3 linked regions of the Oreochromis niloticus genome follow. The protein of the gene in region 1 purifies or fractionates together with the protein of each later gene. This does not show direct contact. Links are inferred from orthologs where the notes say so. Each region holds a gene or a part of one and is shown on either strand. Other genes may lie near its edges. The genes, in order: nup133, ahctf1 and seh1l.

Evidence for each region.
Region 2: the proteins of nup133 (region 1) and ahctf1 purify together in Homo sapiens (affinity purification with western blotting; 3 studies listed by BioGRID, with this or other methods). This does not show direct contact. The link is inferred for Oreochromis niloticus from reciprocal best matches to the Homo sapiens genes NUP133 and AHCTF1.
Region 3: the proteins of nup133 (region 1) and seh1l purify together in Homo sapiens (affinity purification with mass spectrometry; 4 studies listed by BioGRID and IntAct, with this or other methods). This does not show direct contact. The link is inferred for Oreochromis niloticus from reciprocal best matches to the Homo sapiens genes NUP133 and SEH1L.

Annotation. Positions count from the first base shown.
Region 1 is NC_031971.2:5,372,197-5,382,445, reverse strand, and holds the start of nup133 (nuclear pore complex protein Nup133), read right to left. Parts: upstream 4,881-10,249; 5' UTR 4,848-4,880; coding exon 4,720-4,847; intron 4,523-4,719; coding exon 4,407-4,522; intron 4,218-4,406; coding exon 4,114-4,217; intron 3,698-4,113; coding exon 3,464-3,697; intron 3,127-3,463; coding exon 2,956-3,126; intron 2,491-2,955; coding exon 2,335-2,490; intron 2,214-2,334; coding exon 2,143-2,213; intron 543-2,142; coding exon 395-542; intron 68-394; coding exon 1-67. Other genes in the region: taf5l (TAF5-like RNA polymerase II p300/CBP-associated factor-associated factor 65 kDa subunit 5L), read left to right, coding at 6,269-6,407, 7,657-7,761, 8,335-9,095. UniProt on the Homo sapiens protein: Involved in poly(A)+ RNA transport. Involved in nephrogenesis.
Region 2 is NC_031965.2:26,145,819-26,156,572, reverse strand, and holds the start of ahctf1 (protein ELYS), read right to left. Parts: upstream 4,843-10,754; 5' UTR 4,689-4,842; exon of another isoform or gene 4,548-4,688; intron 2,260-4,547; 5' UTR 2,254-2,259; coding exon 2,133-2,253; intron 1,276-2,132; coding exon 1,125-1,275; intron 982-1,124; coding exon 879-981; intron 770-878; coding exon 589-769; intron 393-588; coding exon 185-392; intron 1-184. Other genes in the region: si:dkey-127k13.1 (PWWP domain-containing protein MUM1L1), read right to left, coding at 6,862-6,943, 7,022-7,110, 7,217-7,438, 9,434-9,669, 9,794-9,844, 9,969-10,044, 10,138-10,198. UniProt on the Homo sapiens protein: Required for the assembly of a functional nuclear pore complex (NPC) on the surface of chromosomes as nuclei form at the end of mitosis. May initiate NPC assembly by binding to chromatin and recruiting the Nup107-160 subcomplex of the NPC.
Region 3 is NC_031976.2:5,532,593-5,542,807, forward strand, and holds the start of seh1l (nucleoporin SEH1), read right to left. Parts: upstream 4,881-10,215; 5' UTR 4,764-4,880; coding exon 4,653-4,763; intron 4,227-4,652; coding exon 4,176-4,226; intron 4,054-4,175; coding exon 3,907-4,053; intron 3,824-3,906; coding exon 3,612-3,823; intron 3,295-3,611; coding exon 3,196-3,294; intron 3,105-3,195; coding exon 2,964-3,104; intron 2,798-2,963; coding exon 2,643-2,797; intron 989-2,642; coding exon 835-988; intron 1-834. Other genes in the region: ptpn2a (tyrosine-protein phosphatase non-receptor type 2a), read left to right, coding at 5,776-5,832, 7,301-7,391, 7,486-7,586, 7,763-7,861, 9,079-9,216, 9,440-9,649. UniProt on the Homo sapiens protein: Component of the Nup107-160 subcomplex of the nuclear pore complex (NPC). The Nup107-160 subcomplex is required for the assembly of a functional NPC.

The sequences.
Region 1 (10,249 bases):
ACAGAAAGGCTGTGGAGCCAGGGGAACGAGGCAACACCAGCCGAGTGGCCTGCAGGGTCTCCTTGTTCTGAGGAAATAACAGAATAACTAAAGACTTTCAAAATAAAAGCATAAATATCTTCACTCTTATAATAGGAACTGTAAATGCTGGACTTTATTTTACAATGTCCTGTAGTTTCACTGTCACGTGTTTGGACAGTTTCACTACCACTCTTTCTGCGTTGCTCAAAGTGGTTAATGTTTTAATAATTATGATTGAGGATTGTCCAAAGTCATCAGTCAAATCCTCTTCTTGATGAGCAGGGTTTTACACAAGAAGAGGATGACCAAACTGATCCTCTAATAGATCAAATCACAAAAACACCACTGCTGCAGCAGCAGCTTTAGGTCTGACCTGGAAGGGAGAGCTGTACTTTGTGACCTCCACGGTGAACTGGTCAGAGATGGTGGCTCCGTTGTCCTGCAGGGTGACCAGGCAGAAGTAGGCCAGGCAGGGAGTGTCGGACGGGTGCCAGGCTGCAGCTAAAACCACCAATCCGGCTCTGAAAGCAAACAGTGTAGCTCAGTTCAGCCAGGGGTGCAGTAAGTTCAAGAAGAATAGCGAATAATAGAGGAACATGGAGGCAACAAATAAACACAAGATAACCTGTCGACGAAGACAGCGGTCCAGAACCTTTTTTACACCACAGACCGGTTTAATGTCAGACAATATTTTCATGGACCGGCCTTTAAGGTGTCGCGGATAAATACAACAAAATAAACATCATTTTGAGTTATTTAGACCAAAATACTAAATCTCTACAAGGGCCTGATATCCACTTACAAGGACATTATACTGCTACTGTTCTATCAAAATTTTAAACGAATATCCTCATATGTGGCTCTTATTTTCCTTAGAAACAAAAATCCGTTAATTTTTTTTTTTTTTTTTTTAATCTGGTAATTCTTTGTTTTTGCATTCATCGGGTCCCAATATGCCCAAATATCAAAGATAAATTAAAAATGCATGCTGTGGAAGAGTTCAGGTCTTAGGAGGTTAATGCTCTCTGGTCACTATGGTAACGTGTAAATATTTCTTTCAGAATAAGACAACTACAACACGGGAAAAGACCCAGGGAAACATAGTTAACGATAAAAACCCTGAAAACCATACATTTCACACCCGAGCCTCAAGTCCTGTGGTCCAGTGCCACACGACTCACGGACCAATACAGTTCCATGGCCCGGGGGTTGGGGACCGCCGGACTAAGACACAACAAGTGGAGAGACAAGTGTAAAACAAGTCTTTTTATTGACTGAATGGATAAAATCCATCTTTCATTTAATATTTATATATTGAATATAATTTTTTAAAATTCTGAGATTGATCTTTGAAGTGCAGAGTGACACAAGATGGGTAGCTCTGTTTGGCCATAGTACGCTAACGCTAGGGTGACCATATTTTGATTTCCAAAAAAGAGGACACTTGGTCCAGTCATGAAGAACTTTAATAATACTGTTTGCTTCACGAAAACGTTAACATATTTAAACGATGCCTTCTCTGTGTGGTTAATGAATCATGAAATAAAAAATGTCATATAGACCAGTGGTCCCCAACCCCCAGGTCTCGGACTGGTCCGGTCCGTGAGTCGTTTGGTACCGGGCTGCGAGAGTTGAGGCTCAGGTGTGAAATGGTTTTCAGGGTGTTTATCGGTTTTCAGCGTTATTTTGTTATCGTTTTTATCGTTAACTCGGTTTTCCTGGGTCTTTTCACGTGTGTTATGAATAAATCTTCTTTTTTTCGGTACCGGTACTAGTTTTATTTTGTTGTATTTATCTGCGATACCTTAAAGGGCGGTCCGTGAAAATATTGTCGGGCATAAACCGGTCCGTGGCGCAAAAAAGGTTGGGGACCGCTGATATAGACTTTTACAAGTCAACAAGTGCAAAAAAAAAAGAAAAAAAGAGGCCGGTTGGTCACCCTAACTAACACTTTACCATGCTTTAGCACATGCAATCCTAAATGCGGCATATTTTAGTGAAAAAAAAAGAAGAAGAAGAAGAAGGAAACAAAAATGATTCAGGTTTTTGTGAATCCAAAGACAAGCACCAATGTGTGGCCCTGCTGCTTTTAATCACACACACACAGTAGAACACACTCACTGGCTGAGCTTCATGTCCAGGTATGCCACATTTGCTCCCTCCTTCATCTCCTCATAGTTGCTCTCTGACCCCTGGAGGAAAGGAAATCATTTTCATTTTAATCTTATTTATTTAGTTTTCTTTGCTACAGTGCAGAACAGGAAAAAACCCTTCATCTGTAATAAATAAGGTCACATGTTTGCTTACACTGACCCATATAGCGTCTGTGATGCTCTCGTTCAGAACTCTGCGCGCGTCCCAGTTGAGGATCTGGTGCTCCGAGCTGTCGTCGACCTCCCATTTACTCAGACTGGAATCAGTGAGTGTGTACAGGGAGCTGCTTTCCCCCACCCACAGCACACTGCAGAGCTGCAGCAGTAATAGAGTCAGAAGTCTGAATACTGAAGATAACTAAACTGACACTGGAGAAGAACTGCCCTCACTATTCAGCCTGATAGACTTAAAACACAAAGGGTGTTTAAGAAATTTGTGAATCGGAATCAAAAGTAATCACTCATTTCTCTCTGTGGCTAAAATTGATTAAAAAAAACAAAAACAAAACTTGATTAATATAAAACAAACAAATAACACCTGGAGGAAAGAATTAGCAGGTTATAATCAGATTATCAATGAATGACAGTAAAAATGGGAAAAGAGTCAAGCTCAGAGCAACACTATTCGATGTATTTAAAGGTCATCACCAATAGATGAAAAATAATAACACTGTACACTGACTAGTCTTAATTATTAAAAATGCATAAGCTAGAAAAGAGTTGTACAGATAGAATAAATGAAAGCCCAAACTCTGCAGTTGACTCTCCTAACAGGACTCACTGTGTCATTGGCTGGTGTCGAGAGGATGCCAAACAGGCTGGAGACACGACGTCCGATGCCAGAGAGCATGCCCTGACCCTGCTGCAGAGCTCGGCACTGCAGTTTGCCAGAAGAATCTGCACTTGCTCTCAAGAGCTGATTCTTTACCGAGGACAAGACAAAGCTTCCACCCTGAGAAAGGAGAAGGAAGTGAGAAACAAAGAGGTCAAATTATATGTTGTTGATTTAATCCTGTTCCTTACAAATTTACACAAAATAAAGTGCAATGCCAGCTTTATTACATGTGTTTAAATGTTTCAAGATATCTCAAGGTATGCAGTGAATAAAACTTGGACAGCAGCATTACTCCCCAGTGATTTCTGGAGTGATACTGTTTGATGTGGTTGTACTTTGGGACCCTTTTCAAAAATATTTGAGTATTTTGGATTTGGCAGGGTCAGTGGTGAGTTTTTTTTGTAACAAATTGGTTAGCAAAACAGTCTATTTTCAACTGAAGAAACCTACTTACTCTGACAGCAACAACAAAGTTGCACAGATCTCCCAGGTCCACATCGGTCTCTGTGTAGTTGCCCTCCTGGGAGAGGCTGGGCCAGTAGCGAACCGTTCCTTCTGCAGCCACCGCCAAGACAGAGATGGACTGAACAGCAGCCATCTCCAGGGGAGCAGTGGAAGTCACAGCCACAAGGTCAGCAGCGTAGTTGTACTCACTGCTGGGCAGTTGCAACTCCTTACAAACTGAGACCTGCAGGAAAACACAGTTTAGTTTGTGAATTTAAAGCTGCCAGTTTAGCACATTGTGAACTTTCAGTCTGTTTTGATTCATCATTTAATCCATCTAATATCGGAATAAGAAAGCAGGTTTTGTGAGAGAAAAAAAAGTCTGTCTTTCTATCGCTGAAACATTTACCACATGTTACTGTACCCAGTCTCTTTAAATAAAACTAAGACACATGAAATAAATGATCAGTGAATAATTATTTGCTTTGTCGATCCTACAGATGGAAAAAAGGCCTCACGCCGCTGGCATTATTTTGGAGAACATGTTAAAATAACTCTTTAATGATTTTTAGATTGTAATTTTAGTCTAAATGTAGTTTTAAAGTGAATTTTAAACTCAGGCTGAAAAAAAAATATATAAATGTCTGCCCTGAATCATACCTTAGCTACAGCAGTTTGGCAGATCTTCCAGATGATCAGACTCTCTCCACAAACCATCCAGGCCCAGCCGCTCTCACACACCTTCACTGAGATCTGATCATCAGCTAGAGTGACCAATAAGAAAATGAAAAACAAATGTTTAGTGGAAACTACTAACTCTCCCACAACCAGAAACATAAAGAGAAGAGAGAGCAACTATATAAGAAAATAGAAATTGAATATGTTAGTTTGAAGCTCATAAAATTACACACGCACACCTTTCATTCTCAGAAAGAAGACAATGTTTCTCTTACCGTCAGCCATCGTCAGTGCCTCCATAACTTTGACGGGGAGTGATGACCCAAAGGTCTGCACATCATAGTTAACAGTTTCTGCCCCCGCATGGCTCTGAACTCGGGTAGGTGTTGATCTGGGGAGGACACAAACATTAAGAGTGGACAAACTCAGAACAATCAGCTGTAGCTACAGTCTGATGGCCCCAGTTAATCCAAGACTGCACTGACGACTCAGCACGAAAGAACAACATCTATAAATCTGTAAAATTGTCTTTATTTGTCATATATATGGAGCCTTCCGATTGAGTAAATCTGATCCGACAACACTCACCTCGCCGACAACGGCGTCCTGCGCGGGGAGAACAGGAGGCCAGGGACCGCACCGGAGACACTCTTCCTCCCGGCGGTCCTGGCCGGCTGCCTACGGCCGGAGCCCGGGGCGGTTCGGGGGCTAAACATGCCTGCGGTGGTACCCCGAACTGTTCAACAGTGATAACTACAACCCTGCCTGAAAAGCGCGCTCACACCAAAGATCCACCTAATACAACTCTCCAAACAACGCGCGGTGCAGTCGCTGGATTAAAACGTCATCGCCTCCTCCGCCTATTTCGTAAAACTTTATTTACAACTCGAACACGAGATTTTACAACTGTAACACTTTCACAGAGCAAAGTCTTGTTGTGTGGGTAAGTCAGTCAGACTATATGAAAAACACACACACACACACACTTTTTCATGTAGGCCATATTCATCCAATTAAAATTAAAAATTTAAATTACTCCGCTCTACTGATTCTACGTTTTTAAGGGGCTTAAAAAGTGAGTTAAGTACGCTAAATACTGTGAGAGTTAATTTAGTGACTTAATAGTGCACTTTCACACAGAGTTCTGTACAGCAGGGATTGGCAGAGACAATTCTGCCTCTGGGTCAGTAAATTTAAGCTTACATATAAATTTATAAAATAAAACAAACACAAATTTATGTCATCAAGATGACATCAGATCTTCAGGAGACTCCAAACTATTCAGTGCATCTCATCATAGTAGCTGACTTTTATGAACTACAACAATTATATTTTATCAACCTAATAACTGTGTTCTAAGATTTTTTTCTTCTCAGGAAATCTGTTATCTATAGATTTACCCTTGAGCTTGAAACTAACGGGAGCCAGGCGAAAGCAGTAGATTAACGACACCTAGAATTGCTGATTAAAGATGAGAGCGGCCAGCTAGCTTAGCTGCTTTCGCTAGCATGATTTGATGGAGTCTGACAGGGTTGGATAACCACGATGGAGCGGCAGCGAACGACGTTGATATAGTAGTTATAGCCAGATACAGTGATGCGTTAAAAGCGGTCGGTTTGGACACAGTAACTGAAGGCGGACAGCAACACGTTATGCAGTAAGTAGCAATGTCCAAATAATGATGGTACGGCATTAATCCCGCTAAAAGTTTAGCGGGCAGGCCCACTTCTAGCATTAGGAAGTTAGCCAGTTAGCTTGGTGTAAGCATCCTCCTCTACTGTCGAAACCTGACAGCTTTACACTGCATGCCTAGTTCTTTGCTGACTTTCAGGTTAGTTGGCACGTATCTTTGTTGTGCTAGCTGGGCCCTTTGTAATGCTTGTAACATAAACACGCCAGCGTTGCTTTGCTATGTAATTAGCAACTAGGTGATGCTGTGCTCAAGAGGTTTAATTTGACCATGGAGATGATGAATGAGAATTTTTAGTAATCACAGACATGTATCGTATTTTGTAGTCCGTTGTGAGCACGAAAACAGTTACTATATGCTTCCGACTTATTGGGTGGATGAGCGAGAGAAGGAAGGTGCTGTGAAAAGTGCCAGGTGTCTGACACTGTAGCTTGTGCTCGTAAGGTCATGAAGCGGATTCGCACTGAGCAGATCCAGTATGCCGTGGCTCAGTACCTGAAGAGGAGGCAGTATGTGGACACTGACGGCTCCCTGAAAGGAGCCAAGCTCTACCAGTCCCCCGAAGAAATGGCTGCAAGTCTCACGGGTAAGATGATGATGATGATGATGATTCCAGCCTAATTAATAGATCGCACAGCCACATAGTTATGAGAAAAGACTGATCACACGAAAACACTACACATACACCACAGGATTGGCTTCACTGCAAAAATTAGCACTGCCGCCTCAGTGCAACATGGATTTGGTTTTGGGCATGAACCTTGTAGACCCTAGAGCTGTCTATATTCAATTCAATTCAATTTTATTTATATAGCGCCAAATCACAACAGAAGTCGCCTCAAGGCGCTTTATATTGTACAGTAGATCGCACAATAATACATACAGAGAAAAACCCAACAATCATATGACCCCCTATGAGCAAGCACTTTGGCGACAGTGGGAAGGAAAAACTCCCTTTTAACAGGAAGAAATCTCCGGCAGAACCAGGCTCAGGGAGGGGCGGCCACCTGCTGCGACCGGTTGGGGTGAGAGAAGGAAAACAGGATGAAAGACATGCTGTGGAAGAGAGACAGAGATTAATAACAGATATGATTCAATGCAGAGAGGTCTATTAGCACATAGTGAGTGAGAAAGGTGACTGGAAAGGAAAAACTCAATGCATTATGGGAATCACCCCGGCAGCCTACGTCTATTGCAGCATAACTAAGGGAGGATTCAGGGTCACCTGGTCCAGCCCTAACTATATGCTTTAGCAAAAAGGAAAGTTTTAAGCCTAATCTTGAAAGTAGAGATAGTGTCTGTCTCCCGAATCCAAACTGGAAGCTGGTTCCACAGAAGAGGGGCCTGAAAACTGAAGGGTCTCCCTCCCATTCTACTTTTAAATATTTTAGGAACAGCAAGTAGGCCTGCAGAGCGAGAGTGAAGTGCTCTAATAGGGTGATATGGTACTACAAGGTCATTAAGATAAGATGGGGCCTGATTATTAAAGACCTTGTATGTGAGGAGCAGGATTTTGAGTTTCCATGGGCCTGCTTGGGTTTAATTCCACAGTGCAGAGAAATGTGTTAGGTAACTGGTGATTCTAAGTGATTTTGAGACTGTGTTTTTTGTTTGTTTTGTTTTAACCCTGTGTTAAACTCGTGACCTTTCTAAGGTGTACCATAAGACAGCTGGGATAGGTTCCAGCTCACCTGTGTCCCTAGGATAATTGGTTAAGATTAATAATCTATTTTCATAATGCAGTGTAATGTATTTGACCCTTTGACTGGCAATATTCTATGTAATTAACACTTTTTCTGGTTTCTTCTGTATCTTCTTTCTCTATGTCTGAGCAGTGCAGACGGAGTCAGGATGTTCCAATGTCGTTTCTGCTGCACCATGCCAGTATGACCCACAGCATTATGAGATTCAGTATTCCAAGCTCCGCGCCTTCCTGTCAGGTATGAGCTCTACATCACTGAGTGGATGAGTCTAGACTTGCACATCTATAATTGTAGTTGTTCCCAAAGTTTATGCCTCGGCTCCACTTTTTTAGGTAGTGGTAAAGCTGCATCCTAAACAGCAGAAAGAGACAAAGGTTGTGGACGACTGGGGCTTCTTTCTGAAAGATGACATATTGCTGCAGTTTTAAATATTTTTATTTTCTCTGATAATTGTGCTTTTGTATTATTGACCATCCAGGGCTGATATTTTTTCATTTTGTCAACATTTCTTAAGCTGTTTTTGTGCGAGTCCACATTGTTTTGTCCTGACTGTTAAGAGAGAAACATGGATTACAAACTTTGGTTTTAACATTTGTCTTTCATACATTTATGTTCGTATTTATTTATTTATTCATTTACATTTTTTGAAAGGGCATGAATAACAAAATGGATTATTATTGGCTTGTATACAAACAGCTCCACATGGATATCGAGAATGAGATGATGGAACTGTGTTACGATATTGTTAACCTTTGTTGTTATTGATTACAAAAGCCTAAAAAATATACATATTTGTTTTCTACTAAATAGAAGCAGACATATCCTGGGCAAAAGAGGTGAGCAGTGTCCTCTATCCGCTCTTCGTCTACCTCCACCTGGACATGGTGCGCTTTGGACTGAAGGGGGCTGTGGATGGTTTTTACAGTCGTTTTCATGGCGCCTTTCTTCAGGACAGTGAGCAGTGTACCATCATAGAGCAGCTCCGCCATGTCCTCAGTGCACAAGACATTGTGACCAACCCCAAGCTGAATGCTTTCTTAGAGCACAAATATGTGGTTCACCTGACGGAGCCAGCCTACAGCTACCTGCTGCGTTACCTGCAGAGTGAGGACAACAGCGCCCTCTGTAGGATCCTCAGTACACACCTGCAGCTGGAGGTCAGTGCCTCGAGGCGGACAGACTACCAGCTCTATGGAGCTGCTTGCGGGTCGACAGCTTCTCCAAACTCCACCTCCTCCTGGGCCGGAGTGGATGGAACAGAGAGTGGTGATGGGGTGGAGGTCCCAGCAGGGATCCCACAGAATGAGGCAGCCCTCGAGGCTCTGCAGGACTGCGTCAAGAAAGTCCGTGAGGGACCACCGTCACTCACCACTGTCTGTTTTTACGCCTTCCACCACACGGAGCAGATGCTGAACACTGCTGAGGTCTCGGCTGACAGTCGGTTGCTGGCCGGTGGATTTGACACCTCCACGGTAAAGCTGTGGAGCCTCCGTGCCAGAAAGCTTAAGGCCAGACCCCATCAGGCTGATGTGTCACACATCCACCTGGCATGTGACGTACTGGAGGAGGAAGTAAGTAGACATTGTTATGAGAAGTCTTCACCTTAATTGTTTCCATATCTTCTTTTTCTTTTTTTAAAATTTGCATGCGTTTCTTTTGGTGTACAAAATATGAGAAAATAATCCTGAGGACAAGACAAAGTTTGTCATGAGAACAGAGACACATTGGTGAAGTCTTGTTTATAGTGGTGACGGACAGGCTGTGATGTTTGCAGATGACATGATCTGTAGTGAGAGTAGGGTGCAGATGGAAGAGTTGCAAATACAAATTACATGTATGTGAATGAGAGGAAGATGTTGGAAAGTTGCAGGCACAAGGAGTGGACGTTGACATGAGTACATAAGTTTAAATATCTGAGGGCAACCTTCCAAAGTAACAGGCACAAGAGGTGAAGAAAGGAGTGGAGGCAGGGTGGAGCAGGTGGAGAGGTATGTCAAAGGTGTGACAGAATGATTGCAGCAAGAATGTAAGGGAAGGCTGATAAGATGTAGTGAGCAGAGCTGAACCAATTGCAATTTGCTCAGTTAAAATGTGTAACCTGCTGTTATTGATTTTCTTTCTATGAACCATAAATTACAGCAGATACAAACAATTTAGTTTGTCTTCAATGCAAATACTTAAAAAATATTATAACAGAAGAAATTATTGCCCCCAATATTATTCTCCAAAGCTGGAGTTAGTTAGAAGATCTTCTTTCACTGAAACATCTGAAACCAAGTGCTCTGCTACTGGAAAGAGGTAGAAATGATAAAATGAGTTTTACCTTGCCAAACAAAAGGAGGAGCAACAGCTTTATATAGTTTATTTTTCAGTATATTTATAAATTCATTAGACAACAGGGACCTTGAATTTGTTTTGTTTTTTTTCCTTTGCTTGCACATACCAAGGTTGCTAGCTTATGGCTGCCTCTACGCACTGGATATCTTTAACTTTAGCCACTTCACTTCAACTCCTTTTAAAATATCCATGTTTATCTGGGCGATGGCGATGGTGATGTCACTGTCTGATTAGGTTTGTTTTTAGAAACATTGTTGTGGTGGGGTGCACTGAAAATCATCCAATTCCGATCTCTAGCAATAAGATGGGTCTCATTTGTAGATGGTGGCTCTGATTTAAAAAGACCTGCAGAGTTAAAGATTAAATTATTTAGCAAATTTAGATTTTT
Region 2 (10,754 bases), on another chromosome or scaffold:
GTGTTTCCTCAGGTCACAGATCAAAACAGCAAAGGGACACCGTCACACATAACTCTATATATAACCACTACTGCTGAGGATTACAAGTTTAAGCCACTTTCACATTGGTTTCAGGAGCCTGAAACTATGTCCATCTTTTACACAAAGTCTACAGATGGAAGTCGGCAGAAACACAAGCACTCACTCCTTCTTTAAAGTCTTCATGTTCCACAGCTGTAAGTATCCATCAGAAAATCCTACTGCCAGGTGGTTGGTCCTGGAGATGTACTGCAGAGCTGTGGCTCCAACTCCACTGGGTCCATTCAACTGGAGACAAAGATGTCTGCCCTCTCTTGTGCTGACTTCTCTTAGCTTGGGGATCTCTGCAGGAGATTTAGTCACTACCTGCAGGTCTGCAAACAGAATAAATATAAAGGGAGAGATTCTTTTAGAAAAAAAAGTACAATCTATAGGTGCCAGAATATGTTTGCATACAATGAAAAGGTGAAATAGGAAAAAAAACAGCTTCCAGTAAAGGAACAGAAAGTACAGAGATCCATAAAAGTATGAAAGCATACTACACATCACTTCCTCATTGAAATTTCTCACCTGAAGCGTCAAGTTCACTTTGGTTGCAGGAAAGATCATCGAGACAGAGGTCCACAAGGAGAACGTGACCGAGATCCGTTACTACGGCTGCAATTCCAAAGAACCAGCGCAAACCCTGGTGAAGGTGTTGTGTTGACGTGCTTGCTCCGCCATAGCTCACTAATGGCTCAATAGCTGTGATCTAGATGCAAGAGAGTTTTAGAAAAGAAAAATAGAAAATGTTCAAGTTAACTAAAGTTCTAGAAACTTGAGTCTAAATGTTAAAATAGTAAAAACTACAGTCAACCCACTCTGCCTGGTATGACAACAGCCTTCACCACTCTTGACAGTCCCAAGTCATAAAGACACAGCACGCTGCCTTCTGTTTCCTCCAAGCCAACCAGCAAACCAGACCTGTTAAAATTAACCACCAGAGGACTTAACATTTGCACTGTCATTACTTTTATTATGTATCCACTTCATAGTGAACTTTCACTGATTACATCCACATCCAAATGAGCCAAATAAATCATGAATGAATGAAATGAAGCCCGAACCGTTTGAGCCAGCTGAAGTCTCTGGCGGCAAGGACATTGGGTGGGTGCTCCCCTCCACCACTGAAGCAGTATGCAGACAGCCGTTCTCCTGTCACTGCATGGACAACCTCCAAATGGGGTCCACAGGCCAGCCAGGCCAACCCGCTGCGACCTTCATACACAGACAAGGGCATAAAAATATAAAGTTAAAAGCTGCAGGTCTTTGTGCAGTTTAAGCTGAAAACTAGCCTTGTGATGATAAAGCAGGAAATTACTACAAAAAAATAACAAAAGCCTTTAAGAAAAACCCAATTATGTTAGATTTTGAGGTGATTTTCTTCCTCCCTTTTAATTACCCAATGTTGCAACATCAGCAACTTATTTACACGGTAAAAGAATTATGTGAAGCAAAATAATTAACATAAAAATACTAAAAACAACAGAAGAAATTAAAACATATGTGTGTGTATGAACGGATTTTTATATTTAAGAAACAATCAGCTTTAACATCTGGATTGCTGTCTGCCCTAATTTTATGGTGTTGCAAGTTCTTGAAGTTCTTATTGTCCTGCAAAGCGGAAGTTTGGTTCATGAACGCAAGCCTGAAAAGATGAGTTACCATTTGCACTTCCATTCATAACTTATCTGCTCTTTTATTTGTTTGAAAGAACATACTGAAATTCTTTTCAAACCAGAAGTCCATCCAATAGTAAAGTCTGTCAAAGTCAAAGGTCAGACAATATATACCGAATGTCCTAAACATGCACAGTAAGTAGTGACTTGGAAAAAAAGAGAAAAATGTTTTTCCTGATGTCAGACTGTCAAAAACCAAGTAACTCATCAGATTTATTTTCACTTATTATTTATTGATTCTTTTCCCACCTGGGTGATATAGTTTCAATAGTTTATTAAATAACATGTTTTCATATGAGGGTGATGGTATTGTATTTCATATCCTTTATTTGCTTAGAAATAAGAGAGAAAAAAAAAAACAGTTAAATGCTTAAAATAATGATGAAATATTCTTACCAACAGTAAAACTCCCATGAAGAACAGAATCTAGCGTAATCTCATCTTCCCCCAGAGCGTCTACAGTCACTCCTGAGAAAGGCAGCAAGCTGCTGGTGACTTGTGCAGTCAGGTCATGCATTGTTCACTGCATAAACATAAAAAGGAAATAAATAAATGTTAAAAAGATTCTTTTATTTACATTTCACCCAATATTTTGGCCAAATATGATAAAACTATTATTAGAATTTTTTTTGGCAGCTTATAAAAAGAGCAGAACCAAAAGGAAAATTATAAAACCAATTTTGTTAAGTTGGGTTGCATTTACAGAAAAATGATAGACATTTTATTTTTCAAAGGGGAAAGACATAAAATGCACATGTTTATGTCAAATAAGGAAACAAACTCAGGCTTGATTTTGTATGTATTCATCTCCCACGGGCCCATTCTGAGCCAATAAAAACCCTGTCAATAGTCAAAAACATCTATTTCCCTCCTTCCACATTACCCTAGCCAAGCTATTTGCTCATTAAGTAAACACAAGCAAATTAAAACAAAATACAAGTCCTCCTGAACCCTTACTAATCCCTAAAACCACTTTGGGGTTTATGTGCTTGACCAGGTTTCTACACAAAAGAGGTCTTTCTTTCAAAACACTGCCTGCGCCCCCTCAGTTGTCAGGAAGCATGCTGTCAGCAAACTTTTGGACAGCTGGGGCTGAGAATGGGCTTGCTTTCCAATCCACAACGCGTGGCATACAGCTGCACATCTGTTAGCACATTCTTCTCACAGTGAGATGAGGAGTAAAGCGCTATTACAATAATCGAGTAGCCAACCTGCTCAAGTGGCATTTTTTTCCTGTTCATAATAACTGACACTACCAAAACATGTAAATTCACAGGTCTACATCAACAGCACTGTAAACTAGAGATGTCAAGGTCATTTTATGTTGTGGTTCACAAGCTGTATACTCCAATTTTCCCTACATAGGGCAGACCACTCCTAAAACTTTACTCATGTAAGATTTTTTTAAATGTTTATTTCATTTTATTACCATGACTAACACAAGTACGCTCATGTTTATGCCGTCGACTGGCCTCGTCATTGCACTAGTGCTCCACTAAGATAGCATTATCTGCGTCTGTTGTGTATACAGTGCTGACAAAAAATTAGTCTGTCACGTTCAGTTTGCAAAATAGTACCCAATACCGCCCCCTGTGGCCACACAAGGAAACACATTGCATTCAAGTGAACTCCCGCGCAACATGCCTGTAGTCCAGCAGCCACATGCCAGGGCATGAGTTTGAACACACAGATATAACATTTACAAAATAATAAATATATATTCTCTGTCGGAGGCAAATGTTTTTTAGAACAACAAAACACTGTTGAAGCGCACTTATAGCTTAAACAAGCAAACATATAGCGATCACGTGTGTCAACATTTGTCAAGTCTTTGTGACACCTATATGCATTTCTACCATTTGCAACTTTCTACAAGACAGAACATGTACATATAGCGAGGCTGAAAAATGTGAGACAACATGAAAACATTATATAGCTCCATAAACCACAGTAACCGGCTCATGTTGTCTGGATCGTTAGCGTCTACATAGTGCCAAAACAGTTGTTTACATTGTTAAGTAACGCACAATGGTGATAAAAATTTAAAGATAAATGAAACAATGCAAGTGTTATCTAGTGCTGAACAATAGGTAGTAGCCTTGATACACTCTTACATTAGCAGGTTACCGAGTTAGCTTGCAAGGTCATGCAGGATTACAGTTTATTCAATTTCACCGTCAAAGTTAAGAAAGCTAACTCTAAGGGTAGCCATCTGCATAACTAAGTATTTGAAAGTTGTTACCATTTCATGTAGACTATCAGGTTTGTGCTACAACAAGTCAACTACATCGGTGACTGAAACTAAACCCATCAAGTTTTAACCACTAGTCGAAGGTAAAGTAAGGGTGGCTAGCTAAACTAGCCCGAGGTACAGCAATACTTTCGCTAACGCAGCTAACTTTCTGCTAGCAGTGTGCATCTAACTTGCGGTATGTTTGTTTTTTCCACCCCAGCTAATAACCATAACTGGCATTTATCATTGTTGACATCTTAGTAAAACCACAGCCCTGTCAGCGACGAGTCTTGTTTTACTTGAATCTGAGCATATAGGTGGACTGATGTCATTTTGGTGGTTTAGCTTCAGTTAAAACGTAACGCCAGGCAACGCAGTTAGCGTGTAGCTTCTGGCAGCACCGCAGCAGAGTTAGTTTCTGTCTAACACAAGTGACGCCCGCATTGTGAATCTGTGTGGGGATTTACTCGGCATAAACTCATTTAGCGAGCCGAGCTAGCCCGGTTACATCTTTCCAAGCTGACCTGGAAAACGTGAGGCAATGTGCCGCTAGCTTTTGCTACCAACGTTTACACTACCTGGGCGAGAATGTTGACGGCTTTATCAGAGCCACAATTGGTTCGTTTTCCTTTATAATTATCTCGATTCCTTTCTTCCTCTGTCATAATCCGTTGCTTTTTAAAGTACCTCTCCTACCGATAGCCCTCTAGGAGATTCACCTGACAAACAAGCACGAAAGGATCCTCTGACTTCAGGCTCCAACAACGCAGAGCGCCATTTCCACAGTCGAAAAGTGCTCTGACGCATTTCTTCCTCGCCGTGGTTCCGACAGAATAGACACACATCGAGGACGCACTGCTGCCCCCCTCAGTCTGGGCATTGCTTCTGTTTGAACAATAGAAACTAAAACAGGAAAGTCAAATGACTTTGCAATATCAAACTTCTTCTTTTTCTTTTTTTTATCTGCTCCCTTCAGGGGTTAACACACGGATCATCTGCCGTGTGGTGAAAATGCTCCAATGCTGGGCAGACAGGCAAAGCAACAGCTCCATAATAAGTTAAGCTCCAAGGAAAGGTAGTGAAGATACATGATTTTAAATAGCTGGCATCAAGTCAGGGTGGAGTGGGTGGAGACGAGTGTCAGTTGTGATTTGTGACAGAAGGATAGCACCAAGAGTGAAAGGGGTGGTGTGATTTGAGACGGTGCCTCTGACAAAAAGACAGCAGGGACAAATATTTCGTTACTGTACTTAAATAGAGGTCCGGTGTTTTTATTTATCGATATTTAATAGCTGCATGTGCCAATTAGTAGCTGTTGTGGCACATCTAGGAGCGAGGGGCATAAAGATAGTAATATTTTTTAAGTGTCACTTAATTTCAAATGCAATGTTTCTATCAGCTCAACAAACATCAGCAAACACACAAACTGCATGTGTGCAGTTTGTCGCACAGTGTGTTGCTACCTAAAGGTCCAGCTGCTGCAGTTCACAGGGATAGAAAAGAAAGAGAGCTGGAGAAAGATAAGAAAGACAGAAGAGGAGAGGAAGAAGAGAGGTTAGATTTAAAGCTAGGGACTGCTCAGTGGTATTTGATAACTGTCAATTTAAAGCCTGCATGAAGTCCTAATGTCTTTAAATCAGATATTGGGTCTGTACATTTTTATATTGTGAAACCTGCTGCATTTTTTTCCTGCTTAGAGGCAAATTCACCCTCTACAATGTAGGCAACAGAAAATAGAGCTTTTTAAGTTTCGTTCTTTTTCTCTGCTCATGTTCTACTTAACTTCTTAAAGCTGAGTACCTTTATTAGAATTAAAATTTAAACTGAAATAAAGTTTATAGTCTCATGTACTAATATTATTTTATTATTACATTATTATAACACAAGGTCCAGTTGGCTTTGCACAACAATAGCTGGTAAAATGAAAAAAAAAAAAAGCATTTTAAATGTTATTATGAAGATTTTCCTTTGCCTGTTTGCCCAGCACAGAAGCATTTTTATTCTAAGAAAATTTTATGTCAGTCCACACCCGGGCTGTGCTGTTTTCACTTTGGCAAATCATGTAATTTTCTTCCCAGACTTTTCACTGCTGTAAATACAATAATAATAGTATATAAAATTAGTTACAGAATTATTTCTAATGAAATGTTTGGGTTGGAAACAGGCCCACAAGAGCAAACTCTGTTTATTATTGCTGGTGTGATGACGATTGTTGGCATTTGGCCATTTATTGAGGCGTGTCCATAGAGCAACTGTCAGTTACTGGCATGGACGGTATAAACGCTACATTATACCGTCTATGGTCTGTAGTGGACGCTCCAGGATCTGATTGCCTCCGATTCATTTTCCACCCCATCATACGTGAATCAGGGGTATCCTTTTCTCTCATTGGTGGTTGCTTCACTTGCTCACCTTGATGTTGGCGAATGTTCATCACCACTTTCTTCACCATGGCAGAGTTTTTTTTCGCCTGTCTATGACTTTGTATAGTCTCTGTGAATCAGTCTCTGTGTGCCTGTCCCTTTAGTGTGTATGAGAATCTTCACAGTTCAGCAAACAGTTTTATAACACTTTTTATTTTATGTAAAACTCTTACAAAAGCACATGCAGACAGATAATTAATACTTGAGCTGCTTGAGAAGCTATTTGACCATGTGTACATTTCCACTTATGGAATAAAGTTATGTGATTAAACCACCTTTCATGATTGCATTTCATGGCCTTAATTTAGGTTTTATTATATGCTTGATATTCACTTTTTACAAGTATACAAAAAGAAAAAAAAAATCAGTGCAATGATTGATTGCAAGGCACACAGGTTATGGCTGTATTACCTATGAACAAAACTTAAAACACTCCAAATATCACAAATCTTGACACTCAGACCGACAGTCAGAGAATAATGGAAGTGTTTGGATGTTGTGATTTCTTCCTCATTTGCTGCTCAATCTTTAAATCAAACTGCTGCCTTTCTCTGAAAAAACAACAACAAAAAATTAGTATTTAGCCTTGAAGTCATTCTTTTTAAAAATTTAACATATAAAAGTCTCACCTGTTGCTTATACATCGCCCTCTGAGGTATTTTTCTTCTGCTGTTTTTACTGAAACGTTGTCCACTCCAGCAATGGCATAAATAATGGCCTGCACAGAAAGATAAACTCATGACACCTGGACTACAGAAACTGAACTGCATATCAGGAAACATTGCAAACAAAACCTGCGAGCACTCATGTAGGCTTTAGCTCACCTCAGGAAGAAGCACATCCAGGACAAAAGGGACACGATCCATGGATTTCACATCAGCTACGCAGGGGGCGTTGGCCACAGCTGCTGTATAGAGCTCATTTAGGTAGCAGTAGACTTGGTCAAGCTGATGGTCATCTTCAAGGTATATGTTCACCACCCGTCTACGATTGGCACTTAAGAAGGAACGAAGCCACCTGGACTTCTCCTGCCCATGGATTACAGCCTGTAGGAAGTGTGATACAATGGGAAGGGATTTATTCAATCAATTATGGTTTCCTATGCCATCACATCTTACGTGTGGCACAGCTCCGATGTCAGATTTTAAAAAGAACTGCAACTGAAAAAAAAATGATAGCTTTCATATGCAAATACTTGCAATATTCACCCATTTGTTTGTTTAATTTTTGCATGCTCTGGCACACTCTTTGCATAACTGGTTGAGCTCCTGAAAGTATTGGACATTACTGGGGTGAACTTAAATTTGTAAGTATACTAAAATCGAGGTCAGCTTACACTCATTGTGGCCTCTACCACCCATACTTCATTCAAACAAATCTCCACGTCTTAACAGATAGACTGCTTTTGACCACTTTGCTCTGGTCTCATACTAACAGTGCGTGCAATTCAGAAACTTATAAAAGCATAGGATACCTGGTCTTGATAAATAGTTAAGACAAACAAAATATTGGTACTCACTTATAAGTACCTCTTAGCGTTTACCTAACAGCAAACTATGGTAATTCAGCTATAAGCAGTTATCAGCATCAGCAAATAGCATATAATCATGATTGGTATGTCATCAATCAAGGTAAAACGTGAACCTGTATAACAGAAAAATAATATGCATTTCTTGATGATAACCTTAGTGTTGTACTTTATAAATGAAATGAAAAAGGTGTTAATAAAAATCTATCCCAATCCTTCTTTTAGGAGGTGAGACAATTGCTATAACAAGGAACTAAGAAGAACATAAATGATGGCAAGTTGAATTCAAATGTCTAGTCTTTGACTATCTTTAATTTCCAGACCTATGTAACTGTGCCAAATGTGGTGCTATGACCAAAGGGGATGTGCATTTGTTTCCACACACTGGAAATAAGTTCAAAATAAAAAACAAAAAACAAATCTGTTGTTTATGATTTAGTTGTTGAAATCCACATTTGGGCTGGTATATGCTGTGAAAACTAATCAAGATTTATTAAAACAAAACAAACAGACACGAAAAAGGATCTCTGCACATAAAAGCAACAAAAGGAATTCAGATGAAAGGTCACCAGTGGCTACATGTTTTAAGTCAGCTGGTCATCATGTGTTTTTTCTCAGCTTCCAAGATGGTAACGCCAGCTAAAAGAGGAACTCAAGGCATATTTTTGTTCCAAATACAAGTATATTACAGTCATACACTACAAAGTGAAAGGTTTCCATGAAGAATTACTGCTGAAAGGCTTTTGTTTGGATCTATTGTAACTTCATTAGTAGGGCCAAACAGGGCTATTCTCTTGCAGCACTTCAAAGTCCTTGTTGTTGACTGGTGTTTCAACCTCACCCGGTCTTTATATGTATTGTGATTCTGTATTGTAAAAAAAGATGAAAACCGTGGCCTACAAACGTGCTTGTGCAGTGGGTGAACTGTGAGGCTGTGTGGGTAGGGCAAACCCACACATTTCTCACGTGGGTCTCACAGTAGGGTGTTCCCACACAGGGCTGGCAGCAGTTTTACCTTTTGGGGGCCCTTTATTGGCTGTTTAAATGGGCAAACACACTACCCCCAGTACTGGTGTACCCACACAGCCCACAATGGGCAGCCCACAGTGGGGTCAGGTTAGCGGTGCACTAGATCCGGCACTGTTGCAGTCACTAACTCAAAAGCTGAAAAGTTACATAATTTGAGCAGGAAAGTTTCAAGCCTAAGTTGAGCCACAGAAACCAAATACAAGTTTTCATCTCATAAAACTTTGGTGGGATAAAGGAAATGAAATATTCCAATTACTCAGAATATTAAATTATTTTGCGCTGGTATAAAACTCTACTTTCTGCTTCTGTTTCAGTTTGGGCTGTCCTAAAAGACCAAAGCAGCACTCATTACTCAGCACTGATGCAACATTTTAGTGAAGTGACACCAGCACTGTAACTTTTTGAGGAACACAAACAATCAACACAATCAAACAACACAAACACAAGAATTACACCAGCAGAAAAGCAAGAGAGTCATTCATACCAGGAGGTGTGCGTCGACCATGTGTTGCTTGACAATGAAATGTACGAGCTTCTCATTTGCGCGGTTGTGGGCAGCATGGGTCCGATCTGGCAGCAACCTTTTTGAACACCTTATGTCCTTCTGCTGTTCACTAAAGCTGTCCTCCTTAACGTCACATGGCTCCTCCATTGTCGAATCACTGATGATGGTTAGTCTCTCTGAAGCTGCCTTTGGATACTCCCTCCTCACAGGATAACCTAAACCAATTCAGACCAGCAGTCAAGAGCAACATCAGGGCCTAGAGAATCTGTAGGTGTATTCAACTTTTTAATTCTGTGCTAGCCTCATAATTTGTGATTCCAGGTCAAGGATGAAACTTACTCATATCATGGTCAAAGTACTGTATGAAGGAGCCAGAAAATGAGCCACATGCTACAAAGATAAAACATGATTAGTACTGCAGCTAATTCAGTGATATCATCCTAATATTGTTTAAACAACATATCACACACACATCAGTGTTTCTGCTTGCTGAGGCATTAAATAAGCAACTCACCAATCCGAAATCTGTAGTCTGTTATGAGATCCAGGGACCATGATATTGCAGCATCATAGCTTTCTTTGGCTTTACGCTGTTTAAAAAAACCAAAAAAGCAAAAACAGTTTAGCACTGTGTCAAGAGAACATTTTCAGAAATCAGAACATACTCCGTGAGCAGTTCTTACCATGAGTTCATTAGCTTCTTCACAGTCAAAAGGTTTCAAACATTTTAGAGCCACAGCAAACCTTTAGAAACACAAACACCCAACTGAAAAGTTTATTTAAATAACATAAATGTAACATAACACTACGTAATGTGGATACACTAATCAGCCACTTCATTGGATACAGTTCAAATTCTTAATGCAAATATCTAATTAGCCAATCACATAGCAACAACTCGATGCATTTAGGCATGTAGACATGGCCAAGACAACCTGCTGAAATTCAGACTGAGCATTAGAATGGGGAACAAAGGCAATTTAAATGACTTTAAATGGATGTTGCTGCCAGTTGGATTGCCATGAATCATTTATAAACTGGATTTTCCCACACAATGATTTCTAGGATTTACTAGACAGCAGTGGGTGCCAGTACTATCAGCTAAGAACAGGAAACTGAGGCTACAAATCACAAAGGCTCACCAAAAATTGGACATTGATAATTTTGTCCATTTCCAACTGGACAAACAGAAGATTGGAAAAACGGTGCCTGGTCTGTTGACCATTATTCAGATGGTAGAATCAGAATTTGGCATAAACAACATGAAAGTATGGATCCATCCTGCCTTGTGTCAATGGCT
Region 3 (10,215 bases), on another chromosome or scaffold:
AGCAGACCAAATATGGTTTCAATAGGAAGTAATAACAGGTGTGGATACATTTCATTTGTATAAAACAAGGAATGTGTTATCATTCCATTCAAGGCTCGCAGTGGCTGTATTCATACTCGTTCTGTGTGCGTTTACACTCTGTTAATAGGGCTCATTCAAGCTGTCCTTTCTGCTCAGCAAAGAGTTTGGCACTACTTGTTCAAGGATACATTCAAAACCCAAAGGAGAAAAATAAGGAGAAAATATTCAGGATGCATTCATATATTGGTCAAATGTCTGTATCAGGTGATATCGGCATGTCTGTTAATATAAGATGGTACTTATCCACATCAGCAGCCGATATTCATTTTGTGTTGGCTAAAAAGACCAAGCAGAACTAATGGGAGGAACAAATAACAAAAACAGTCAGTCATGTCAGTCAAAAGACTGACATTTGCTATCGGCTCAGAATCTAATGATCACAGAATTTCTGCTTCATATAAACACATTTATTTTCCTTTTATATATTAAGAAAACAGTTAGCCCTTGCACTCACAGTGCAAAGTGGAACCATTCTTATTACATGCATCAGTATAAATTGAGAGGAAGTCACTTAGAAAACACCACCACAACACATCCGGCTCCACAGGCACAATGTAGATAACCTGTGTGGTGAAAACCAGAAGCCAAGCTCTTTGCATGAGTGCAGCACGGGATCAGTGCGAGTCCAACACGCTTGTCAGTAAGCAGCTGTACTCCCAGTCAGGGTGAGGCATTAAAAAAAACCAAAGTTGTCAGTTCTGACTGGCTTGGGTAGGGCTGGGTGAGTGGCATCGGATGCGCCACGCTGCCTACCTTCCTGCAGACATCCCGTTCAAGGCATTCTGGGAGGACTGAACAGAGGAGCCCAACACAGTACTCATGGCTGAGGGCTGACCGGATGAACCTGTAAGTGGACTTCCATCTCCTTTCAGGATGCCGGTGCACTTCCAGTTGTCCATGTAGTTAGCTGCACAGAGACAGAAGGAAAAGTCGGCATTTATTTCCCACACGAAGGAGAAAGGGGACAATCTGACAGCTGAACTTTTCACCGTCATAGGCTTTACTTAGCTGTTCTTCTACCCTACTTTAAATCTATAACTTTGCATGTGTTCAAGTGGGGCTCTTTTCTCCACTTGAATATCTGGTGTTCCTCCAGACCAGTGCATTTTGCTGAAGCACACAAATCATTTAACAATCTACTAGTTGCTATGAACACAGTTACTGCACAACCATTTATTGTGAGGGGACTTATCAGCTTTAGCGCTTTGAGCTCATTCCTTTCAGATTTTTGAAGCCCTCTCTCATCTGTGTCAGTGTAAAAACTATCACAAAACCTTTGTGTAATTCTGGTTCAGCAACAAACACCATTTAACAGACATGGACTCGAAGGTAGCACTTAACAGCTTTAAAAACATATTTCTAAGAAAAAGAGAGCAGGATGTAGAGAACAAAGCAGAGATAAATTCTCTAATGCTGACAGACTGTGTGACCATACTTGCGTATCACCAGATGTACTATATGCACGGAGTTTGTAAAAATTGACACTTCTATTAAGCCCAACTTTTAAGACATACATTTCATAACAAAACAAAAAGAAATATCTTAACCTGGAAAAGAGACGCTATGGTTTTTCCTGCTGCTGATACAAACAAATAAATGTGAATCACACAAATAAAGAGGTAAGCTCAGTCAGGATGCTTGGTTATGAATATAGAAACAAAGTCTGCTACAGCGCAAACAAACTGTTAAGATCTTTTAACATTGGTTTCTAAAACCAAATAAAAAATAAAATAATCGTTCCCTGACTCCACCAGGCTGAATACTCGGGAGTGTGAGTGTGTATGCAGATGTTAGAAAAAAAAGGATAGAAGCACTGTATGAATGTGTGTTTTGGTGAAGCACTTTGAGTTATAAACCAAGTAGAAAGATACTATACAAGTAGCAGTCCACTTACCAGTATATAGACACCGCCTGAATAAGACCAAACTATGGATCAAGGTAGATCAAACAGACCCATCCAGGTAACGCCCAAAGTTACAGACACTATAGCATCCCATCTATCCAATATTTTTCAAACAAGAAGAAACTTCATATAAACTTATGGACCAATTCCAAATGATCTGGTGTGGAATGACTTGAATAACTGGACAATTTAACCTATGACTAAATCATTATTCCTAGTATTAACAGCAGCAACTGCTGCTACACAGCTACAAAGCCTGAAGCTTGGTAGGAGGGCAAAGGTTTCCTAACTGGAGGACATAATGGTTGCCAATATCAGTCTGCTTGATTACTGGGATCAATACTCTGAAAACAAACACGCTGGTTAACCTGATTACAACATATTCACAAGTAGGTATTTGCACCTCAGTCAGTAGAGAAAAAAAAAAAAGCTGTTGTGGTTTGATGAGAACCTGTGCAAAAATGTCAGCTTTCTTTACACAGCTGAACCAACAAATCCTTTATTTTGGAAATGACCAATGGCAACTATGAGTGAACAAAAGTCATTCAATGCCTAGTGAAAAGTACTATTCACTGAATATCCACATTAAATAGCTTTTACTAAAGCTGTCACTGAAGTAAAAGGAAGACAAACAAGCAGTTGTTAAGAGCCCCCTCACCTTTCCAGAGGCGCACACAGCCATCATCCCCAGAGGAGGCCAGCAGGGTGCTGGTGATATTCCAGCTCACACGCCACACCTGAGAGTTATGGTTGTCAAACTGAGCCACAATCTGCACCTCAAATTTGGTGGGTCCTGTGGACGTGCTCTCCTTCCTGTCAGGAGGACACAGGAAACAGGAAATTGAATTTTTATTTTTCATTATCTTAAAAAGAGAACATCTGCTCAGGAACTGCATGCAGGGCTTCAGTGCAGTATTTGTGTGACTCCACCAGTTTCTGTGCGTTGTGACCTTCCATAAGACAGAGTGCAAACACTCACCTCATCGGAACTAGCTTAAATATTCGAACATCTTTTGTTGCAATGGCGAGCACATGGAAAGATCTTCCCAGGTTTGGAGCAAACGCGATGTCATGAACCGCATCAGTGACCGTCATAAGTGTCTCTGCTTTGCCATATTTCCTTTTAAACAGATAAATATTAAAATCTATCATTTATTTTGGTATATCTTCATAATGCGATGGTTAGTGCATCACTGATAATGAATACCCACCGTGTGTTTTCGTTGTACTCGTAGATCTGAACCTTCCCACCGTATGTTACATTGCTGTCGTCACTCCCCACAGCAAACATGGGAGGATGGGCACGTGAGCTGTTGGTAGGAGACAACGCATGGTTACACCAGCAGACTGTTAACAGCATGGTGTTACATACACATGAAAAGGTCAAGTGATACTTGCACAGCATTATTCATTATGTTGTTATACCTGCATGTCTATAAGTCACATTAAGTCTAGCTGTAAGCTGTTTTATTGAAAGAATTAGTGGTAGTAATTGTGTTATTTCATAAGCACATTAACTGAAAACATGGTCTAACATATGCAAGCAAATAATATAAAAGCACTACACCTGCTCTCTACATTTGAATCTCATCTTGGTTTCCTACACAAAGTAAACCAGCAGTCTAACCTGGAGGGGTTCCAAGAGATGCAGCTGCAGCTGAGCTTGCAGGAGATCTCATGCTGCAGGGACCACTGACTCAGGTTCATCACATCAGGAGCCTCGTAGATCCTCACCACCCCATCCGCAGAGCAGGTGGTCAGCATCAGACCCATGTGTTTAGGAGCAAACTTCACATCGGTCACTGAAGTTCTACTGTCCACTAGCGTGGTTCTCTTAATCTAGAAAAGCCCAACATGAAACACTCAGGTGAAATCTAACAAACAGTTATATTAAATGGGAAATGCAATGCAAGCGTACTAACCCAGTGGCTAAGTCCCCTCTGCTTGTCATTGGACTCTCCTACAATCTCCTCCCAAACAGCAGCTGTTCTGTCAAAGGAGCAAGAAGCTAGAACCTGTCCAAATTCTGGATGCGCCCAGGTCACTCGCCACACTGATCCACTGTGTGTCTGGACATAACAACATTCATCTATTAACTCCATCGATACTTTGAATGTAATGCTGTGTCCATACTCAAAAAGACAAACATAAAGTAATAAATAAAAAAGAAAAGGAAATGATGGTGGTTTACCTTCCAGCTGGCTGTGCAGTGCCACTCTCCGTTCTCACTTTTGTCCCAGACCTGAGTGGAATAAAATCAGTCTTGAATACTGCTCATGTGTCTGTGCACAATTATCACCGATTTTGCACTGACTTTTGTATGTACGTCCTTTATTATGTCGTCACATAATAAAAAATACACCGATAGCTCTGTCGGAAAACTCGGCAGTGCTTAACTACACTACTGTGGTATAGAGCTTATCTGTAGCCAGCCTAGCTCGTGTGCTACAAGCACCAGAGCTAACAGACTAGCATTTTAAACTGAGATAACTTCCCTCGAGTGTAATAACCAGAGGAAGATTTTTCAAACAACCTCATGCCATGTCTGTCAGGAAAACGAGTCAGTAATTTCAGTATGAAAGGTGAGAGTGTCGGTAATGTGGGCAAGGCTATCCTGCTAGCTGTAACGGCTAATGCTAACATTAGCAAACTATGATGTAAAGCTTACCTTGACACTTTGGTCACTGGAGCAAGTCGCCATCCTCCGGCCGTGAAAATCATACGATACGTCATGAATTAGATCTTTATGATCTGCTGCGATACTACGCGCAACAAACATGATAACAACTATGTACCGGCAACTCTAGCTGGGACGATTAACTGGCAGGCCTGTCATGTGTCTACTTATGCTGTGTGTTTATTTGGCGGTAATGTGATTGTGTGTAGTACAAGTTATTGACCACACGGCGGCGCATGCACACAAATTTTAAGCAGCTCAAAGCGACTTTGGGATTCTTTATAAGAAGATAAAATATATCGAAAGCTATTCCGTGAAAAACTGCTACAGCTAGAGTTACTTTGAAGATACGTAGTCAGATAAACAGACAGATTAATAGGTTTATTAATACATAACTGCCAAAGTAAATATAGTAAGTAATATATTGTCAAAATTTATTGCCGCCTCTTGCGCGGTTGCCAGGTTTGATCCAACTGACAGTTTTTTTCTTCGCTAACTTTATTAATAAAAGTTAATTTCAAGTAACAATATTTAAACAGATTTGTGCAAAGGAATTTTGTAAAGGCATAAAATAATAGTACTTAAAAACATTCAGTAAAGAGATTGTGAAAGAACTTTAATGCGTTCAATAAGAGTATTGCATTAATTAATTAAATTAATGCATTCATTGAAATACTGCAACATATCTTGTTTTTTTGTTTTTCGTGTTTTAAGTAAGGCCAGAAGAATCTGCCAGTTAGAAACAACTGAATAAAACACTGAGCTAAGTGTCAATATCCTTGCGTATGTTTTTTTTAAATATTAATGTTAATATCAGATTTTTGTAGTTTAGTGTAGTTTAGTTTTGTTTTTTGTATTTTTGTGTGTGTGTGTGTGTGTGTGTGTGTTTGCGGAAGGCTGTGATGAACGCATATCTGGCAACCCGGGTCAGTCAGCGTGCAGGCAGCAAGCAAGCAAGCAGTATTGTGCCGGAGCAGCAGACTCCCCGCAGGGATTCCTAGGGTTACACACACTGCTGTTTAGATGGCTGACAGAAAGGAGTAAGTTGGTGAACGGTGCTGAAAACACTCTGAGATTATTCCGGCAAGTGTCTGGGTTCACTAACTACAACACAATGGAGGAAGAATTTCAAGACATTGATTCGTCGGGGAGATGGCAAAACCTTTACAATGTAAGTCGGGACACTGACCGGGCCTCTCTTGTTTCTATGACGATCGGTTGCTAACTAACTTAGCTAGCTAATTTGATAGCTATCAAGTTAGACACCACTTCGAGTTTTTGGTCACTTTCCCGTCCACGCTTTTAATTGTGTAAATTTCTACACTTCGTGACATGACTTCCAAGTTCTTTATACATATTGGAGTGCACTTGGTAAAGACGAATGAGTAACTAGCATTTCGCGCTAGCTGACTTCCGTAGCTGGAAAACGTGCATCGGCACGATCTTCACTTCGGTTAGCTAATGCTGGCTGACGCTAGCAGACGTCAGCCGCAGTTTCTGAGAACTCATCAGGACTTCCACAGAAAAGCGTGTTGTGTTTTACCACGCAGCACAGCATTTCGTTTATAATATGTCTGTTCCGGTTAAACTTTGGCTATGACCCTGCAATGTGCAGCTGCGAACTACAAAGATGCCATGTAACTAGAGCTGTTTTTTCACACATGAGTGTTAATAAATTAAGAAGAAATGAACGTGCACACTTTATACATTTTTAAAAAATGTTTTTAAAAAAAACCTTTCAAAACCTTTTTTTGACAGGGAGCGGGGGGTATTTATAAAAAGTGCATGGATAAGTAATTTCATAAAAGATCAAATTTCTTTCATGCAGTCCAGTCCTACTGAGAATTTAAATGGGACTGAACAGACATGAGAATACTAACACTTAATTTAATTTCTTACCTATTTTAAGGATAATGTCGTTAGCATGATAATCTATTTAAACCAATAGTGCTCATTGTACATAATGATGCTTTTCAGTTCCATATGTTATGGGATTATCTCTGTCAGTTTACTTCTAATATGAGTCCCAAGCTTGAATAAATGGGGAGGTTTAAATCAGGAAGTCAAATATGCAGACCAAGAATACAGCATCATGTCTTAGTACATCTATGCACTGAAACTGTACTTTGTGTACTACTAAAAATTACTTTTGCCACTAGTCTTATCCATGGTGCTGTAGCTCAGTGGCAGTGAGGGGACACGCCCCTGCTCACGACAGTATTCTTGGGAGTGTCAAAAATAATTTTTGTTCTCCTTTATTCTTTTCTTGTGTCCAGTAAAACTGCTTCTGTTTCTCTAGAATGAAATAATAATAATAGAACTGAGTTCGCCCTTTGGCCTTGCCCATGCAGACTGTGTTGTAAAAGGAAAACAACAGCCTGAGGCATTGCAGTACATTAAGTTTGACAAATGACAATGAAAACAAAGCAGACCAGTTGTAATGAATTGAGTACAAAGGATTGAGGACCTTTGATCTCTGCGTATGGTTTTTCTTTTAATGTCATTACTGGTCACCACTCCAGTAAAACTGGAGGTACATGAATTGAACAGGTTGTGTCACTGTTTCCTGTCGCTGTTGTCTACTGAATCAACTCAAAGTGATGCTTCTGAGTTCCTGTTTGGTTTCTCATCTGCAACAGGAGATCCGTAACCAAGCCAGTGAATATTCCTACAAAGTGGCAAAGCTTCCAGTGAACCGGAATCTGAACCGCTACAGAGATGTCAGCCCATGTGAGTGTTACGATGGTTAAGGCTCTCATTGATGATATGTGCTGCCGAGAATGACGTCATCATAATTGCTCTGTGATCTCTTGCTTGGTTTCAGACGATCACAGTCGGGTAAAACTTGAAAACTCTGAAAATGACTACATCAATGCAAGTTTAGTCGATGTGGAAGAAGCCCAAAGAGCTTACATTCTTTCTCAGGTATGTAGATTGTAGGACAAGCAGTGTACACTGAACTGTCTGCACGGATATCTGTTGAACACATCTGCGTGCCACTCAAAGGAAAATACACAGGATTTGAGTTTGACATTTTGGGAGTTGTTGATGATCTCTGGATGTTATTCATTTATGTGGATTTTCTACTTTTGCTTTGACAGGGCCCCTTGAGGAATACATGCGGCCATTTCTGGCTGATGATTTGGGAACAGAGTTGCAAAGCTGTTATAATGCTCAACAGAGTGATTGAAAAAGGATCTGTGAGTACACTACAGCACCTGCTAATCATTACGTTCTGAAGTCCCCCTGCTGGCTAGGTTGTTTGAAAGTTTGAGGAGACAAATCTTTATTAATAGATGTAGATACATTTGCTCATCCCAAAAGGTTTGAGATCCAATGCCTGTTTCCACTGATGCTAAAATTCTGTGCATTTACAAGATGAAATAGAATCCAAGATACGTTTTATTGTGTTTTCTTTCTAGTCTATCCACTTTTATCTGGTAGACTAGAAAGGCTTTCAGCCCTGTCTTGGAGTTTTCAAAAAGATGACCAGATTTACTATAAAATTTAATTGGCTTGTTTTTCGTGCATGTACCATCTCTTCACCACGTTTCATGAATTTCACCCTGGTAGGTGTAATCATGCTGACAGACAGACTGAGAAGAATGCCACAATTTTGAAAAAGTGAATTGAAATACTGAAGAGCTGCACATGTTTAAATTCGTTATGGATCAAAGCCTAATTGAGATATTTTGGGCAGGAATCATGACTCAAATTCCTTTACTTGACAATGGAAAAAATTTATTTCCTTACATTTAAAAAAAAAAAAAAAAAAAAAAATCCAGTTTAAAATGTCTTTTTCTTGCTCTGTGGTGTTGTACTTCATCAGAACTCTGTGTTTCACAAGATTGTCTTAAGCTCTGTGGTCATGTTTTAAGCTGTACTGTATGTAAAGTTTCAGTTCTGTTGTTTCCATTTATTTGAAATTTTAACCACAGTTCCAGGAAAGTTAATGATTACTTAGTTTGTTTTTGCATTTAGTTTTGAATGTGTTTTTTTTTTATTTTTAGTTTCACTTGTATTTGGTTTTCATGTTTCAGTTTAGGTTTTACTCTGAAAAGGTTTCATTTTCAGTGAGGTTTCATTGTTGTGTATTTCATTGTTTTTTTGGGGGGGGGTTAAGTTTTTTTTTTTTCTCTCTCTCTCTCCACACTTTGGTTTTTAGTTGAGTTTAGTGTAGCTAACTATAATGGCCTTGGTTCCAAGAACAACCTATGGAAACTGGAAACAAGCTGTCAGATACTTCGGTGTACACGAACGTAATTAGTTGTGCTCTTCGTGCACGGTTGATTTTCTGAATCGGAGAAATAGTGTACATAAGTGCAGCTGTGCCCAGTATTTAAGTCAGAAGTTCTTCAAATGGCTCGAGGCACATGACAGCCTATCCATGAATAACTGAACGTATTTGTCTCAACAGGAAAAGTGCGCGCAATACTGGCCTACCACCGAGGAGCTACAGATGTCTTTCACAGACACAGGGTTTGTTGTGAGGCTACTGTCAGAGGAGGACCAATCCTATTTCACAATCAGATTGCTGGAACTGCAAAATACAAAAGTGAGTATGCAAGGGCACCTATTGGTTAATGACATCTCTCTCTTTCAGCATGGTTTTAAGCACTGCTTAACCAGTCTCTTACCATTTAAGTGTAATGGCATGTAGCTGAAAAAAGACTGTGATTTCAGAGTGTGTAATGTTTTCCTAGTGACAGTCAGCTCAGTCATGCAGAACTGTGTCTATACAATGCTCCAGTCTTGACCAAACATTATGCCTACTACAGACAGGGGAGTCGAGAGAGATCTATCACTTTCACTACACCACATGGCCTGACTTCGGTGTTCCAGAATCCCCTGCCTCCTTCCTCAACTTCCTCTTCAAGGTTCGGGAGTCTGGCTCGCTGGACCCAGAGCATGGGCCTTCAGTGGTGCACTGCAGCGCTGGGATTGGTCGCTCAGGGACCTTTGCCTTGGTGGATACCTGTCTAGTTTTGGTGAGAAGGGGAGTGGGGAAATGTCACTGAAAGCCTGCCACTGTTAAAGAGAATTGTTTCGCAAGAGGTTCACATTACAATGACTAAAGTCTGATGATGGTAAGATGAGGCGTTCATGCTCTGATTGTACTTGCATGCTGATAACATGCTTACAGAGGAGTGTCGGCGTGTAGGTATTCAGCGTGAGTGTGTAAAGTCTGGAGTTTTTTAACTGGAGCAGAGAAGAGGCCCTTAACTGATTATTTCTTGGGAAATGTTTCTCTTCCTGTATGTCAAGAATAACTTTTAAATTACCACAATTCCACATGTGTCTGCAACTATATGGAACTAAATTCCTGATTCTTATCATGGCTTGATGAGTTTTAAAGCTCTAAAAGTTAAAAAAAAAATGATGAATCTTATTTCACTAGAAAGTTTTGCAAATTTCCTGTGGCCATTTGACTTGTCTGTCAACCTTGTTAACATGATTTTGTTTGGCCAGCTGTTAGGTTAACCAGACCTTAAGTGCTGTAGGTCTTTGAATATTGTTCAACACTACACCACAAGTAAGTAGCGAGTTGATCAGA